Linked DNA regions of Macaca mulatta. The protein of the gene in region 1 purifies or fractionates together with the protein of each later gene. This does not show direct contact. Links are inferred from orthologs where the notes say so. Each region holds a gene or a part of one and is shown in the gene's direction. Other genes may lie near its edges.

What was found.
Region 2: the proteins of CASP10 (region 1) and FASLG purify together in Homo sapiens (co-immunoprecipitation; 3 studies listed by BioGRID and IntAct, with this or other methods). This does not show direct contact. The link is inferred for Macaca mulatta from reciprocal best matches to the Homo sapiens genes CASP10 and FASLG.

The regions. Positions count from the first base shown.
Region 1 is NC_133417.1:106,297,509-106,304,853, forward strand, and holds part of CASP10 (caspase-10), read left to right. Parts: intron 1-3,702; coding exon 3,703-3,812; intron 3,813-7,345. UniProt on the Homo sapiens protein: Involved in the activation cascade of caspases responsible for apoptosis execution. Recruited to both Fas- and TNFR-1 receptors in a FADD dependent manner. May participate in the granzyme B apoptotic pathways.
Region 2 is NC_133406.1:30,153,861-30,161,805, forward strand, and holds the start of FASLG (tumor necrosis factor ligand superfamily member 6), read left to right. Parts: upstream 1-3,574; 5' UTR 3,575-3,616; coding exon 3,617-3,961; intron 3,962-4,512; coding exon 4,513-4,558; intron 4,559-7,945. UniProt on the Homo sapiens protein: Cytokine that binds to TNFRSF6/FAS, a receptor that transduces the apoptotic signal into cells. Involved in cytotoxic T-cell-mediated apoptosis, natural killer cell-mediated apoptosis and in T-cell development.

The DNA.
Region 1 (7,345 bases):
TATAGGGAATTTTGTTTTAACCCAAATAACATGAAAAAGAAGGCAGGATAGCATGGGGTGAGAGTGGAGTCTATGGAGTCGGATGGCCAGGACTCCGCTGACTAGTGGTGCAGTGGTACTTTTTTGGCTTTTCTATGTCTCACTTTCCCCATCTGTAAAGTGGGCATAATAATAGTACCAACCTCCTAGGTTTTTGTGAGGTTTGAAGGAGATAGTTTCTGTAAAATGCATGTCTGGCGTGGAGTAAGCATTCAATTCATGTGGCTACTATGACTCTCTCAGAGAGAAAAGTCAGGAAGACCTCACATTCTCAGAAACTACTATCAAAGAAGAACTTTATTTTCTTGTGGGTTTCTTTTTTTTTTCAAGTCTGTCTGATAAAGATAGTTCTGCTGTGATATTTTATACAGGTAGAAGCACAGGGCAGAAGTCAAACCTGGCTGCCTCACCACGTGTCAATACGCTAAATATCTGTGTTTTTCTGAGTCAATTTCTCCACTGTTAAACAAGAGCTATACATAAAAACGCATGAGTATATTCATGAAACTTTTATGCCACACCCTTAATTTAGTTCAGTGAGTGACTCTAGTGTGCAGATTTCTTTGGTTGAAAATGAAACTAGCTAAGAGGAAACGTCTCTCTAAGAATTTGGTTAACACAGAATGAGTTGAGGAGCAAAATATACTGTTGTCAAATTGATAAAATCTCAAGCAATAAAATGATGAATAAATGCATAATTTAAGTTATGAAGAATAAAAACAGTTCTTTCTATCATCAAATTATCAAATGAGAAAGCAGAAGGTTGATATGGAAAGAACATTTCAAATCCTCACATGAGCTCTGAGTTTTTTTCTAAACACATTGTCATTTTTCTGTAATGTCATATCCCATATGAAGTAAACAAAGGGCAAGTGGTCATATTATTTTGGATACTTAAATTCTAAAGAAGACACACTAGCTTCTATGTAGTTGATTACATTTGCCTCAGTGAGTCTTGAAGACTGAAATTTGTTGTTTTATTTTTATTTTTTGAGACAGAGTCTCGCTCTGTCACCCAGTCTGGAGTGCAGTGGCGTGATCTCAGCTCACTGCAAGCTCCGCCTCCCGGGTTCACACCATTCTCCTGCCTCAGCCTCCTGAGTAGCTGGGACTACAGGCACTCGCCAACACGCCCGGCTAATTTTTGTATTTTTAGTAGAGATGGGGTTTCACCGAGTTAGCGAGGATGGTCTCAATCTCCTGACCTCGCGATCCGCCCACCTCGGCCTCCCAAAGTGCTGGGATTACACGCGTGAGCCACCGTGCCTGGCCTGAGCTTTGTTATTTTTATTTTTATTTGAGATGGAGTCTTGCTCTGTCACCCAGGCTGGAGTGCAGTGGCATGATTTTGGCTCACTGAAACCTCCGCCTCCCAAGTTCAAGCGATTTTTCTGCCTCAGCCTCCTGAGTAGCTGGGATTACAGATACCTGCCACCATGCCCAGCTAATTTTTGTATTTTTAATGGAGACAGGGTTTCACCATGTTGGCCAGGCTGGTCTTGAACTCTTGACCTCAAGTGATCTGTGCTGGAATTATAGGCGTGAGCCACTGAGCCTGGCCCAGGACTGAGCTTTATATCAGCAGAATTCTAATTTTGATTTTTCTTTTCTATAACCTACCTGTATGTGATCTCTTTTGGGTGTCAATCATTATTGATATTTTAATATTGACTTTCTTTAGTTCTAAGAGTTTGAGCCTAGTTCTGCTGTTAAGATGAAAGTCTAAAGGACTGAAAAGAGTAGGTGTGCAGAGTTTAGACTTTCCTGTAAGTGTGTGTGATCCAAAGTCCAAGCGAGGACACTGGCTTTGTTTAAGGACCACCTGGCTAACTTTCTAAGTTATCTTGAGCCTTGGTGTTTGCTTTGGTATTTTCTTGAGACAGACTCTTACTCTCCCCAGGCTGTGGTGCAGTGGGACGGTCTTAGCTCACTGCAACCTCCCCATCCCAGGTTTAAGCAATTCTTCTCCTGCCTCAGCCTCCCGAGTAGCTGGGATTACAGGCATGCACCACCGCACCCAGTTAATTTTTGTATTTTTAGTAGAGACAAGGTTTCACCATGTTGGCCACGCTGATCTCAAACTACTGACCTCGTGATCTACCTGCCTTGGCCTCCCAAAGTCCTGAGATTACAGGCATGAGCCACCTCGCCCAGCCTAGTATTTTTAATTTATTATTAAAATAAGGTACATAATTATAATAAAATTAAATAAAAATTCAAATAATTAAAGCAACATAGAGTGTAGAAGGTAAAAGTCTTTCTCCTTTTCTTCTTTTTCTATTACTAACCCATTTCCCAAAGATAACCACTGTTTGGAATATATACTTATTGATTTCCTTCTATATAGAAACAATTGTAAGTGTACAGAGATATTACATACACACACACACAGAGACACGTATATTTTTAACAAAGACCATGCTAATCATATTCTAAAACTTGCTTTTCCCCCCACATAATATAGCTGACTTTTTTTTTTTTTGAGATGAAGTTTCGCTCTTGTTGCCCAGGCTGGAGTGCAATGGCACGATCTCGGCTCACCACAACCTCTGCCTCCTAGGTTCAAGCGATTCTTCTGTCTTAGCCTCCTGAGTAGCTGAGATTACAGGTGTCTCTGCCACCACGCCAAGCTAATTTTTGTATTTTTAGTAGAGACAGAGTCTTGCCATGTTGGCCAGGATGGTCTTGAACTCCTGACCTCCAGTGATCCACCCACCTCGGCCTCCCAAGTGCTGGGATTACAAGCATGAGCCACCATGCCCGGCCATAGCTGACATTTTCATGAATATATTAATAATACAGATATAGATCGTTTTTATTAATGGTCCCTTAGAAATCATTTTATGGCTATAACATTTTTATATAATTACCACTTTTAAATGGATTTTCTTTTTTCTTACATTCTTTTTACCCTCCTTTCCTTCTTTCTTTGTTCGCTATTATAGCCTGAATTCTGATATTATTTTTTGAGACAATGCTTTTGAAATCTCTACTTGGCAATTATCTGGTACATTAAGCACTATAACTTTTTTTTTTTAGCAGCTTAAAACAACAATAAGTTTTGAAATACGATTTAGTAAATATATAGTAATTTTAAGGAACTAATAAAATTATAAAATAACAAAAACAATAGAAAAGAAAATAAAACAATACAAGGAATAAAAATAATTTATAAATTTACACATTTTTTTTTCTGGGTATATATGTAGGCTTCCATAAGCAAATGCAATGAGAAATTTACAATTCTCAGACTGGGCGCAGTGGCTCACGCCTGTAATCCCAGCACTTTGGGAGGCCGAAGCGGGTGGATCACCTGAGGTCAGGAGTTCGAGACCAGCTTGGCTAACATGGTGAAACCACATTTCTACTAAAAATACAAAAAATTAGCCGGGCATGGTGGCGTGCCTGTAATTGCAGCTACTCAGGAAGCTGAGGCAGGAGAATTGGTTGAACCTGGGAGGCAGAGGTTGCAGTGGGCCGAGATCATGCCATTGCACTCCAGCTTGGGCAACAGGAGCGAAACCCTGACTCAAAAAAAAAAAAAAAATTTACAATTCTCTTCAAAATAATTATTTTTGATGGCTGCTTTTGATGGCTGGTTATTTTGGATTGCTACTAGTCAGAAGGTAATTTTTATTTTCCTGTCTGTGATTTTATTTTCAGCTGCCCAGATAGCGACACCTCCTGTAGACAAGGAAGCTGAGTCATTGTATCAAGGAGAGGAAGAACTAGTTTCCCAAACAGACATTAAAACATTCTTGGAAGCCTTACCGGTAGGTTCAGTGGTGTGCTGGTCAATGTTTAACAACCGGCTCCACCCTCCAACCCCCCCTCCCACCCCCCCAAAAAGAAAAAGAGAGATTGGCTCCGGTTTGTACCATTTACTGTAAATGCTCTCGCCATGGTGATTGCAAGTAAACAACATGATATCAACCAGAGTGCACATTTTCTGAAAATTTAACAATTGACTGACACTAGCCGGCTAGTGAGAACTAGTTAGTTTGAGCTCTCACTAGTTAGTCTGAACTGACTCCACACACCCTTGAGTTGCTCTGAAATGGTTCCTCTGTTCTTATCTGTGGGATGCAATTAGAGCCAGCTTTAGGGACATATAATCTATGGAGTACAGGGTGCCTGATAGTAATTCCAGAGTTCAAGTACAGAGCTTTGTTTAATGTTCTGCTGTTACTGTTTTGAAATTCTTACTGTATTGAACAAGAGGTTTGCCAAGCATGTAGCTGGACAACCCAGAGGGCAAGGGTTTCTGGTTTCTGTGGTGCTCCGCTCTGAAAGGACGGGTGGAAGGGGAAACGTTGGGAGAATTTGCAATCTGTTCCTCACAATGTGATCATGATCCTTGGGAGATATGTGACAGTCTTCCCTGGGATCTGTGGTTCCTCCAGCAGACTTGGGTAATTTCTTTGCCAACATCTGTCAGCATCAATGAGTTAGCTTGGTCTGGGAAATTTTTTGTTTTTTGTTTTCAATTGTGGTAAAATACACGTAACAAAATTTACCATCTTAATCAATTTTAAGTATACAGTTCAGTAATGTTAAACACCTTCACATTGTTGTGCAGACATTACCACCATCCATCCCAGAACTTTTTAATCATCTTTTAGTAAAACTTTGTACCCATTAAACAATAACTTTTCATTTTCTCCTTCCCTCCAACCCCTGGAAACCACGGTTCTACTTTCTCTGTCTATAAATTTGACTTTTCAGGGTACCTCATATAAGTAGAATCATACAGTATTTGTTTTTTTGTGACTAGCTTATTTCACTTAGTGTAAAGTCTTCAGGGTTCATCCAAGTTGTAGCATATCTCAGAATTTCCTTCCTTTTTAAAGGCTGAATAATATTCCACTGTGTGTATATACAGTAAGTCCTCATTTACAAGGTTGATAGATTTTTGGAAACTGACTTTAAGTGATAGCATACTGTATAATGTATTTATTTTTATTTTAAATTTTTTTGTAGAGGTGGGGTTTCGCTTTGTTGTCCAGGCTGATCTCAAACTCTTGGGCTCAAGCAATCCTCCCGCCTTACCCTCCCAAAGTGCTGAGATTACAGCCATGTACCACCACGCCCAGCCACATACTACATAATGAAACCAATTTCACCATAGGCTAATTGATATAATCAAGAGTTGGCCAGTCATGGTGACCCATACCTCCAATCCCAGCACTTTGAGAGGCCAAGGCAGGCGGCTTACTTGAGGCCAGGAGTTCGAGACTAGCCTGGCCAACATGGTGAAACCCCATCTCTACTAAAAATACAAAAATTAACCGGGCGTGGTGGCGCACACCTGTAATCCCAGCTACTTGGGAGACTGAGGCACAAGAATAGCTTGAACCTGGGGGGTGGAGGTTGCAGTGAGCTGAGATTGCATCACTGCACTCCAGCTTGGGTGACAAAGGGAGACCCTGTTTCAAAAAACGATAACAAAAAACCCTAAGAGTTAAGTTTCTATAGCATACAGTTCATTGTTTCACTTAAAGTCGGAGTTACCAAGAACCTACTGATGACTCTAAGTGAGGACTTACTGTACTCCATTTTGTTATCCACTCATCCATTGATGGACTCTTGGGCTGCTGCCACCTTTTGACTATTTTTAATAATGCTGCTATGAATGTCGGTGTAAAAATATCTCTTTGAGATGCTGCTTTCAATTCTTTTGTGTTTGTACCCATAAGTGGAAATGGTGGATTATATAGTCATTCTATTTTCAATTTTTTGAGGAACCTTCATTCTATTTTCCACAGTGACTGTACCATTTTACATTTCCACCAACTGTGCACACATCCTCAGAAACACTTCCTCACCAAGACGTATTATTTTCTTTCATTTTTGATAGTAGGCATCCTAATGGAAGTGAGGCCCTATTTCCTTGTGGTTTTGATTTGCTTTCCTTAATGACTAGGGCTGTCGAGCATCTTCTCATGTGCTTTTTGGCCATTTGTATATCTTCTTTAGAGAAATGTCTAAGTCCTTTGTTCATTTTCTAATTCAGTTGTTTGTAGAAGTTTTATTTTTAATCCTTTTTTTTTTTTTTTTTTTTTGAGACGGAGTCTCACGCATCGTCCAGGCTGGAGTGCAGTGGTGGGATCATGGCTCACTGCAACCTCTAACTCCCAGGTTCAAGCGGTTCTCCTGCCTCAGCCTCCCAAGCAGCTGGGATTACAGGCATGCACCAGCACACCTGGCTAATTTTTGTATTTTTAATAGAGACAGGGTTTCACTGTGTTGGCCAGGCTGGTCTCGAACTCCTGACCTCAAGGGATATGCCCACCTTGGCCTCCCAAAGTGCTGGGATTACAGGTGTGAGCCACTGTGCCTGGCCTTTATTTTTTATTCTTAAAAATTATTTTATGTCTTCTTTACTACTGTCATGGTCTGATATTTTTACAGTTACAATTTTTAGATTTAAAAATAATTTCAATTTTATAGAAAAGTTGCAAGAATGTGAATAATACAAAGAATACCTATGTACTGTTTTCCTAGATTTACCTACCTGTTGTTGGTGTTTTACCCCATTTGCTTTATTATTTTTGTGCATTCACTCACACTTGCTCTCTCTCCCTCTCTCTCCACACACACATAATTTTTTTCTGAACTTTTTGAGAGTAAGTTGCATACATTCTGAACTTTTTGAGAGTAAGTATAAGTGGCCTTTTACTCCTAAATTTTTTTTTTTTTTTTTTTGAGATGGAGTCTTCGCTCTGTCTTCCAGGCTGGAGTGCAGTGGCGTGATCTTGGCTTACTGCAAGCTCTGCCTCCTGGGTTCACGCCATTCTCCTGCCTTAGCCTCCTGAGTAGCTGGGACTACAGGCGACCGCCACCATGCCCGGCTAATTTTTTGTATTTTTTAGTAAAGACAGGGTTTCACCATGTTAGCCAGGATGGTCTGGATCTCCTGACCTCGTGATCCGCCTGCCTCAGTTTCCCAAAGTACTGGGATTACAGGCATGAATCACCACGCCCGGCCTACTCCTAAATATTTTGGTGTGTATTTCCTAATAATAAGGATATTCTTGGCCGGGCGCGGTGGCTCACGCCTGTAATCCCAGCACTTTGGGAGGCCGAGACGGGCAGATCACGAGGTCAGGAGATCGAAACCATCCTGGCTAACACGGTGAAACCCCGTCTCTACTAAAAAATACAAAAAACTAGCCGGGCGAGGTGGCGGGCGCCTATAGTCCCAGCTACTCGGGAGGCTGAGGCAGGAGAATGGCGTGAACCCGGGAGGCGGAGCTTGCAGTGAGCTGAGATCCGGCCACCGCACTCCAGCCTGGGTGACAGAGCG
Region 2 (7,945 bases), on another chromosome or scaffold:
CAGTTCAGATTCTCTCTATGCCTGGAGGATAGCAGGAGAGTTGGGAGCAGGTATGGGCTTCTAATTTCTTCCGTTGCAGAATGAATCGAAAGAAGCAGCGGGGAAGAAGGAGATGTAAAAATACAGCATAATTCTTATTGGACAGTGCTGGAAGTTTCTGTGGGGAGTTTGAGATAGAAAAGTCGGGAGGTAGTAGTCTGAAATGGAGGGGCCCATCAGTTCAGGGCAGGATTTCAGAGAGATACTGGGTGTCAAACATTGACTTTGCACTTTCCCCCGCAACCTCTTTCCCTCTCTCCACTTTGTCCTTAATGGAAGAAGGTCAATTATATTATGTTTATAGATAAATTATTTGGGGAAAGATTCACTAAATTTACAACATCTGTTGAGTGCCTACCTTGGTGCTAGGGACTATTCTAAGTGTATCAAATGCTTTGACTCATTTACTCCTCCCGACCCCCATAAAGCAGGTACTATTACGGTCGTGCTTATTTTTATAGATGAGAAAACTGTGGCATCGAGGAGGGAAGCTGACCTGTCCTAATGAGCAGAAGAGCTGGGATTGGAAGCCACATAGTTTAACTCCAGAACCACTCACCCCCAAACATCATGCAACAGCACCTCCCCATCCAGGATATGGTGTATTTTCCCACTTATTTGAATCTTTGCCATTTTCAGTAGAATTTTTATAATTTAAAAAATGTGGGCCAGGTGCAGTGGCTCATGCCTGTAATCCCAGCACTTTGGGAGGCTGAGGTGGGCAGATCATGAGGTCAAGAGATCGAGACCATCCTGGCCAACATGGTGAAACCCCATCTCTACTAAAAATACAAAAATTAGCTGGGTGTGGTGGCATGTGCTTGTAGTCCCAGCTACTCGGGAGACTGAGGCAGGAGAATCACTTGAACCTGGGAGGCGGATGTTGTAGTGAGCCAAGATCACGCCACTGCACGCCAGCCTGGGGACAGAGTGACACTCAGTCTCAAAAAAATAAAAAACAAAATATGGCTCTGCACAATTTTTGTTACAGTTATTTTGGGATTTTCAAATAGTATTTTTGTTGCATATATGATAGAATTCTTAAAATTACAATTTCTGATTATTACGACGTTTAAAGTTAGTTGAATTCATAATGATGAATAAAGCCACATGTGAGTTAAGTCTCATCCCTTGCACTGTTTAAGAGTGGAGAGTGGGATGTGAGCAGGAGTGCCTGATAAGGAGGCAGTGGGAGCTGATGCTAAAGAGCCTTGGGTAATGGTAAGGAGCTTGCATTATTCTTGGAATCAAACCTTCCAACACAAGGAAGGGAAGTGAGATCATTAGGTTTGTTTTTTAAAAACATCTTTCTTGTAGCATTTTACTGAGTGATTTGGGCTTGGGAAAGGTCAGTGGCAGGGCACCTGTTAGGTCATTATTGCAGTATTTCAGGTGAGAGATAAAAAGTCTGAGCCCAGGCAATAGCAGTAAGAAAAATGGGAGTGGTAAGGATGGGGGAGGGGAGCAGTAAACCGAGGGGAGGGTAAGGAACAGGTCTCAGGTAAAAGCAACAGTCCTGGGTGACCAGTTAAACATTGGGGGAGAGGAAAAGAAAGGAGATGAAGTTGCCGCCAGAAAGAGTGGCCTCAGGAGAAACAGATTGTACGGGGATGGGGATGGGGTGGGATGGGCAGAATATATCAGGGAAAGAGTATCCTTGGTATTGGTTTGGTACAGGTGAGTGGGCCTGAATGACAGTCACGGAAATCCCAAAACATGATATAAAAACTAATGAAATTTGAAAGGTAATAAACATGAAAGAAATGAAAAATTTGGATTTATGGGGGATTTATTTGGCTTCTATTGGGGAATGATTAAGACTGAAGCTAACTACTTGGAAGTTATTGGCATAAAAATGGTATGTGAGGCCAAAGGAAAGGGTGAGGTGAGCCCAAGTAGAGAGGCCAACTTTAAACAACAACAGAAAAACAAAGAAATAGGACACAGAGTTAAATTTGAATGTCAGTTATATGATGAATAATTGTTTAGTGTATTCCATGTTTGGACGTGTTTAAGACATACTCGTCCTAAAAATTATGTATTATTTATCTGAAATTCAAATTTAACTGGGCACCATGTATTTAATCTGGCAACCATAACAGGGACAGGACACAGAAATATCGGCAAGGACCAGGCAGGCCTTTCAGATGGTGAGGTGATGTGTGAGACACAGGCCGCTGGCGGAGGCTGGGTGACCCAGAACACCTGTCGCTCATTCTCAGGAGCAGCTGCTACCTACTTCCCACTGATTGGGTTTGCAGAGATGGCCTCGAGGGTGTCTGATATTCTGATATTGCAAAACAGAACAAAAATATGTATTTTAATGTGTATTTAAAATGTATATATATTAAAATATTTTTAATATTGATATTAAAAGTGGTCAATTGGGCTGAGTGCAGTGGCTCATGACTGTAATTCCAGCACTTTGGGAAACTGAGGTGGGAGGATGTCTTGAAGCTAGGAGTTTGAGACAAGCCTGGGCAACATAGCGAGTCCCCATCTCTACAAAAATAAATAAATAAATAAATAAATAAGTCAGGTGTAGTGACTCATGCCTATAATCCCAGCTACTTAGGAGGCCGAGGCAAGAGGATTGCTTGAGCCCAGGAGTTTGAGGCTGCAGTTAACTACGATAGCACCACTCCACTCCAGCTTGGGTGACAGAGTGAGACTCTGTCTCTATTTAAATAAATACGTAAATAAATAAGCTGGGCAAACAATGAAAATGAAAACATTGTGAAATACAAAGCAGTTCTGTGGGTTCCACTGTTTGCAGCCTCTGATCTAATTTCTAAAGAGGGTGTAGCAGGTTTTTTAACCTGTAAATTATGGTGATTGGCAGGTCAGGGTAAATGGTAGTTGTGTGTGGGGAAGCGATGATGGCAACAGGTGTTTTCCTCCTGCAAAAACGAAAATGTGGGAGTGACTTCTCTGGCCATGGCTCCATGGTCTCTCCCCTCAGAGCCAATTTCAGTAAAATTTTTATAGTTTAAAAAATATGGTTCTGAACAATTTTTGTTAGAGTTATTTTGGTATTTTTAAATAGTTTTTTGGTCGTATACATGGTAGAATTCTTAACATTATACAATTGTAATGTATAAAAAAGGATACAATTATAATTCATAAAATTATAGCCCCACTGGCCATTCTCCTGTAGCTGGGAGCAGTTCACGCCAACAGGGCTCTACCCCAATGCTGACCTGCTCTACAGGATCCCAGGAAGGTGAGCATAGCCTACCAACCTGTTTGGGTAGTACAGCGATAGCAACTGAGGCTTCCAAGGCTTTCGTCAGAAGATTGTGGGCGGAAACTTCCAGGGGTTTGCTCTGAGCTTCTTGAGGCTTCTCAGCTTCAGCTGCAAAGTGAGTGGGTGTTTCTTTGAGAAGCAGAATCAGAGAGAGACATAGAGAAAGAGAAAGACAGAGGTGTTTCCCTTAGCTATGGAAACTCTATAAGAGAGATCCAGCTTGCCTCCTCTTGAGCAGTCAGCAACAGGAGTCCTGTCCTTGACACCTCAGCCTCTACAGGATTGAGAAGTAAAACCGTTTGCTGGGGCTGGCCTGACTCACCGGCTGCCATGCAGCAGCCCTTCAATTACCCATATCCCCAGATCTACTGGGTGGACAGCAGTGCCAGCTCTCCCTGGGCCCCTCCAGGCACAGTTCTTCCCTGTCCAACCTCTGTGCCCAGAAGGCCTGGTCAAAGGAGGCCACCACCACCGCCGCCGCCGCCGCCACTACCACCTCCACCGCCACCACCACTGCCTCCACTACCGCTGCCACCCTTGAAGAAGAGGGGAAACCACAGCACAGGCCTTTGTCTCCTTGTGATGTTTTTCATGGTTCTGGTTGCCTTGGTAGGATTGGGACTGGGGATGTTTCAGCTCTTCCACTTACAGAAAGAGCTGGCAGAACTCCGAGAGGTAAGCCTGCTGGCAGACTGCTGTGCCCTGGAGGCACCAGGCATAAGGGGGTGGAGGGCCCACTGCCTGGCTTGCAAAGTGCTTTTCAATCCTTTTTTTTTTTTCTTAGAAATGGGTTGTTCTAGTTATTCTATTCTATAGGCAGAGAAATGGAGGCTCATAGGAGTGAAGGGAATATTTTTTATTTTGTAAAGAATCAGAGCCCAACAGTTTTTCTTTCCTCAGTTGTCAACTCAGTCTGTTGAACCACTTACTGCCTCATACCTAGTGATTTAAGGAGTAAAAAACAAACAAAACTTTTAAGTTTTGCTTGGAAGTAAATTTGTTCAGATGACCAAACTAAATCTTGAAAATACTTAAAATACTGGTACGATTTCAAATCACAAAACTGAGGGACAGTGAAGCAAAATTGCTTGACCAAAGCCTGAGTCAGCAAAAGTTCTGAGGTATTTGGATTCTCTTTCCAGGGCTTGGTTTATTTGACGATTCTGTCTCTTTTGCTTAAATAATTTTATTTTTATTATGCATCTTTTTTCTTTCTCTTTTACTAGTCTACCAGCCAGAAGCATACAGCATCATCTTTGGAGAAGCAAATAGGTGAGTCCTTTTTCACATGTACATTGAGTTCCTAAAGATGATCCTCAGCACTGAAATATGTTAATGGAATGCCTTATATTCTGTCCTACACTTTGGCTTATGTATACTATGAGAGGAATCCTGGCTAATTCGGAATCTCTGGTCAGTATGATTCCTTGAGCTGCTTTATAAATGTGAAGTGAATTGAATTGCTCACAATCAATATAGCTGAGCACGGCACACAATTCAAAATCACTTCCGCTTGACTTTGGAAAGAGACACACATATACAACCGTGGACTTTTGCCCCCTGAGCAGTGGTTCCAGGCCTGTCCCCTTCCACAGACACCCTGGTCCTGGCACACATGCCAGTGGCTATGACTTCTGGGAAGAGAAGGCGAAGTGAAGGCAGAGACAGATGTTTCTGAGAAACGTCCTCTCCTCTTTTAAAGCCTCTAAAGAGATTACAGTGAAACTTTATTTACAAAATGTTTTATAGGACGTAAGCTTTTAAAATGTGGCTAATCAATTCCGTACATTAGAATGGTTTTTCTTGAAGTCACTGAGAAGCTGAAGGGAAGACTTCAGCCATCATTCAAAGGATGTTCAGCTTCAGAGGCAGTCATGAGGTACCCTTGATCACAAAGGAAAATCCTTTGTATGGGAGCTAGGGCAAGAAGACGATATGTTGGAACACTGATCTCGTGAAATTTCAGGGCATAGTTTTGCAAGCTCTGTACAGATGGATTTTACAATGTGCTTCACTAGCCTAAGATTCATTGAAATTTTAGATTTAGATTTACAATGAGATTCACTGAAGGTTTAGAGTTGGAAGGAAGCTTAGAATATCCAGTCCAGCCATTTCATTTTTTTGGAAGAGAAACAAAATGCCAGACGGATTAGGTGAATATGCCCAAGACCCCTAGTATGGAACTGGGGCTAGAAGGAACACAGGCTCTTGATGCCTTGTCACCTACAGGGCTTTCCGGTACTGGACTGGTGCCTCATGAAGTAGGGAAACTCCTGTCTCTCTGTAGTGAGCATGGAGTGAGAAATAGAGGAAAAGCAGGATACCTCTGCAAAGACTATAGATAGATCGCATCCTTAGAAACTCAGAATAAAGAAGAAGGCAGCACTGGCCATCTATTAAGTGAAGTAAGTTTCAGTTTCTCTGGATGTGGCTACTGCAGGCAACCCAGTCGCCTGTCTACTGTCCTAGACTGTTAAGTTCTTATAGGAGCCACTGTTGGGAAGCTCTGGCCCCTGAGTCTGTGTCCTAATCCTTAAATGTTAGAAAGTCCATATGTACACAAGCAGAGTGGAAATATTTGCTAGAAAAATAAAGCCTCTGGAGGATGTCTCAAATAAGATCATTTTGAAAACCTGTGGAATGTGCCTGGTCTGATAGGTACCTAAGCATTCATCTTTTACCTCCTCTCTGGAGTCAATTTAGTGATTAAAAATCAAATGACCAGACGAGTCATGTCCATCTACCCCAGTAAGCAATTATCTTCTCTAGATCAACCCAGATGAACCAGAAATTGTTAAATTATCACAAGGAAATCAAATCAGTAACTTTACTAATAAGAAAAGAGATGCAAACTAAAAATAGGGAACACCAATTTTCATCAAATTAGTAAAGTTAACAAAAACCCAGACTGACAAAGATTTGAAAGAAAAGTGCTGTTTAAACATTAGTTTCAGCCAGTATACATGTAAATTGCTATAACTTTTTCTGAAGAGCACTTTAGAAATACATATCAAAAGCTTGAAACTAATAGTTTATGTTGTAATCCTATCACTAAGAATTTCTCTTAAGAAAATAATCAGAGATGTGCCTGAAGATTTATATATAAGGATGTTCATTACTCCCTTATGAGCCTATTTATAATAAACAATCCAGAAGAAACTTGAATGCCTCATACTAGATTAGTTATATACATTATGGTGTATTGAAACAAGCACATAATAAGCAGCAACTAAAAATGATGTATCAGAAGGACATTTAATGCCTTGGGGATTGTGCAGTGTGTATTGTTAGATAAAAAGACAAGTTACAAAAGGATATATTTCGTTTCATACTGACTATGTAACCATGTATGCACGTTTTTATATTCTTAGGAACTAGAAGGTTCTACACACTGACATACTAACAGTGATTTTCTCTGGGAGATACTACTATAGATTATTTATACTTTCTAACTTGTTCCTTTTTACATTTTCCATTTTTTTCCAGTTAGCTAATTAAATCTTTTATTCATTCACATGCGTGAGGCTAGATGTTGGGTGTTGGACGCTGATCGAGGATGAGCCAGCCCAGGGGACCTGTCCTTATAGAGCTTTTAGCATGGTGAAGAAGCTAAACAAAAGCAAGCAAACAGACCATACAATTCCAAAGTTGTACTAAGTATAAGCTGAGAATCCTTTTTAAGGAGGTGTTTATGCTGACACCTGGGGGGTCAGAAGCCTGATGAGCGAAGGGCTGTGTGCATGTGCTGTGGAGTGGGGTGGGGCTGGGGGAGAGCATTTCAACACTGGGAACGGCACATGCAAAAACCCTGGGGCAGGAAGCACTCATCACCAGTGTCTAAGGTATCTCTGCAGTTTATTTATTCCAGCATATGTACAGCAGATATTCTTAGTGAGCATGTTCTGTAAAAATAATGTTGTACTAGGCTCTGTGAGGGATAAAAAGATATGCAACATGTGGTTCTCGGTTCTGTTTCCTGCCGGTGCATGGCTGAATGCCAGATGAGTCGCGCGGGTGGTTTGCGGTGTAGGAATGCAGAAGAGACTCAGTTTTGCCTTTCCTGTTCACTAACACCTCCTTCATGGTGGGTTGTCTTGGGTGACCAGAGAGATCATGATCGCTCAGGTAATGTTCTCTGTGAATTGGGCCATTCTCACACCATACGTGAGTTTTACAGGCTAATCACGAACCTGACGTATTCAAGCATCTCGTGTGAATATTTATTGAGGTCTCAGTTAGCTGAATGCGTTAGCTAAGTGGCAGCTGTCTATCTTGTCTGAAATAGTTGAAGTCAGAGAAATAGTGTCTGTTTTGAGAACTACTGTCTATTCTTCCATTTAATTTATCTGACATTTGCTAGTAACATGCCCTGTGTTAGGAACTGGGCTTCTCTGGTGAATTCAACATATCGTAAGGAACTTGTCATTATTTGAGCGGAATAAGATAATTTATGTAGTTACCCCAGAGAAGAGGAGTCAGAAATGACAAGAGAGGGGAAGACAGAATGATCCTAGATTTCAAAAGAGGGGAAGATCATATTTGATCAAAAAAGGTTTGAGAGGGTTTCCCAAAGAAAGAGGTATAGTCCTTATGGGATGTTTAGGAATTTGACACAGAAATCTGTTTGAAAGAACATTATGGGCAAAAGGCATGGCATGA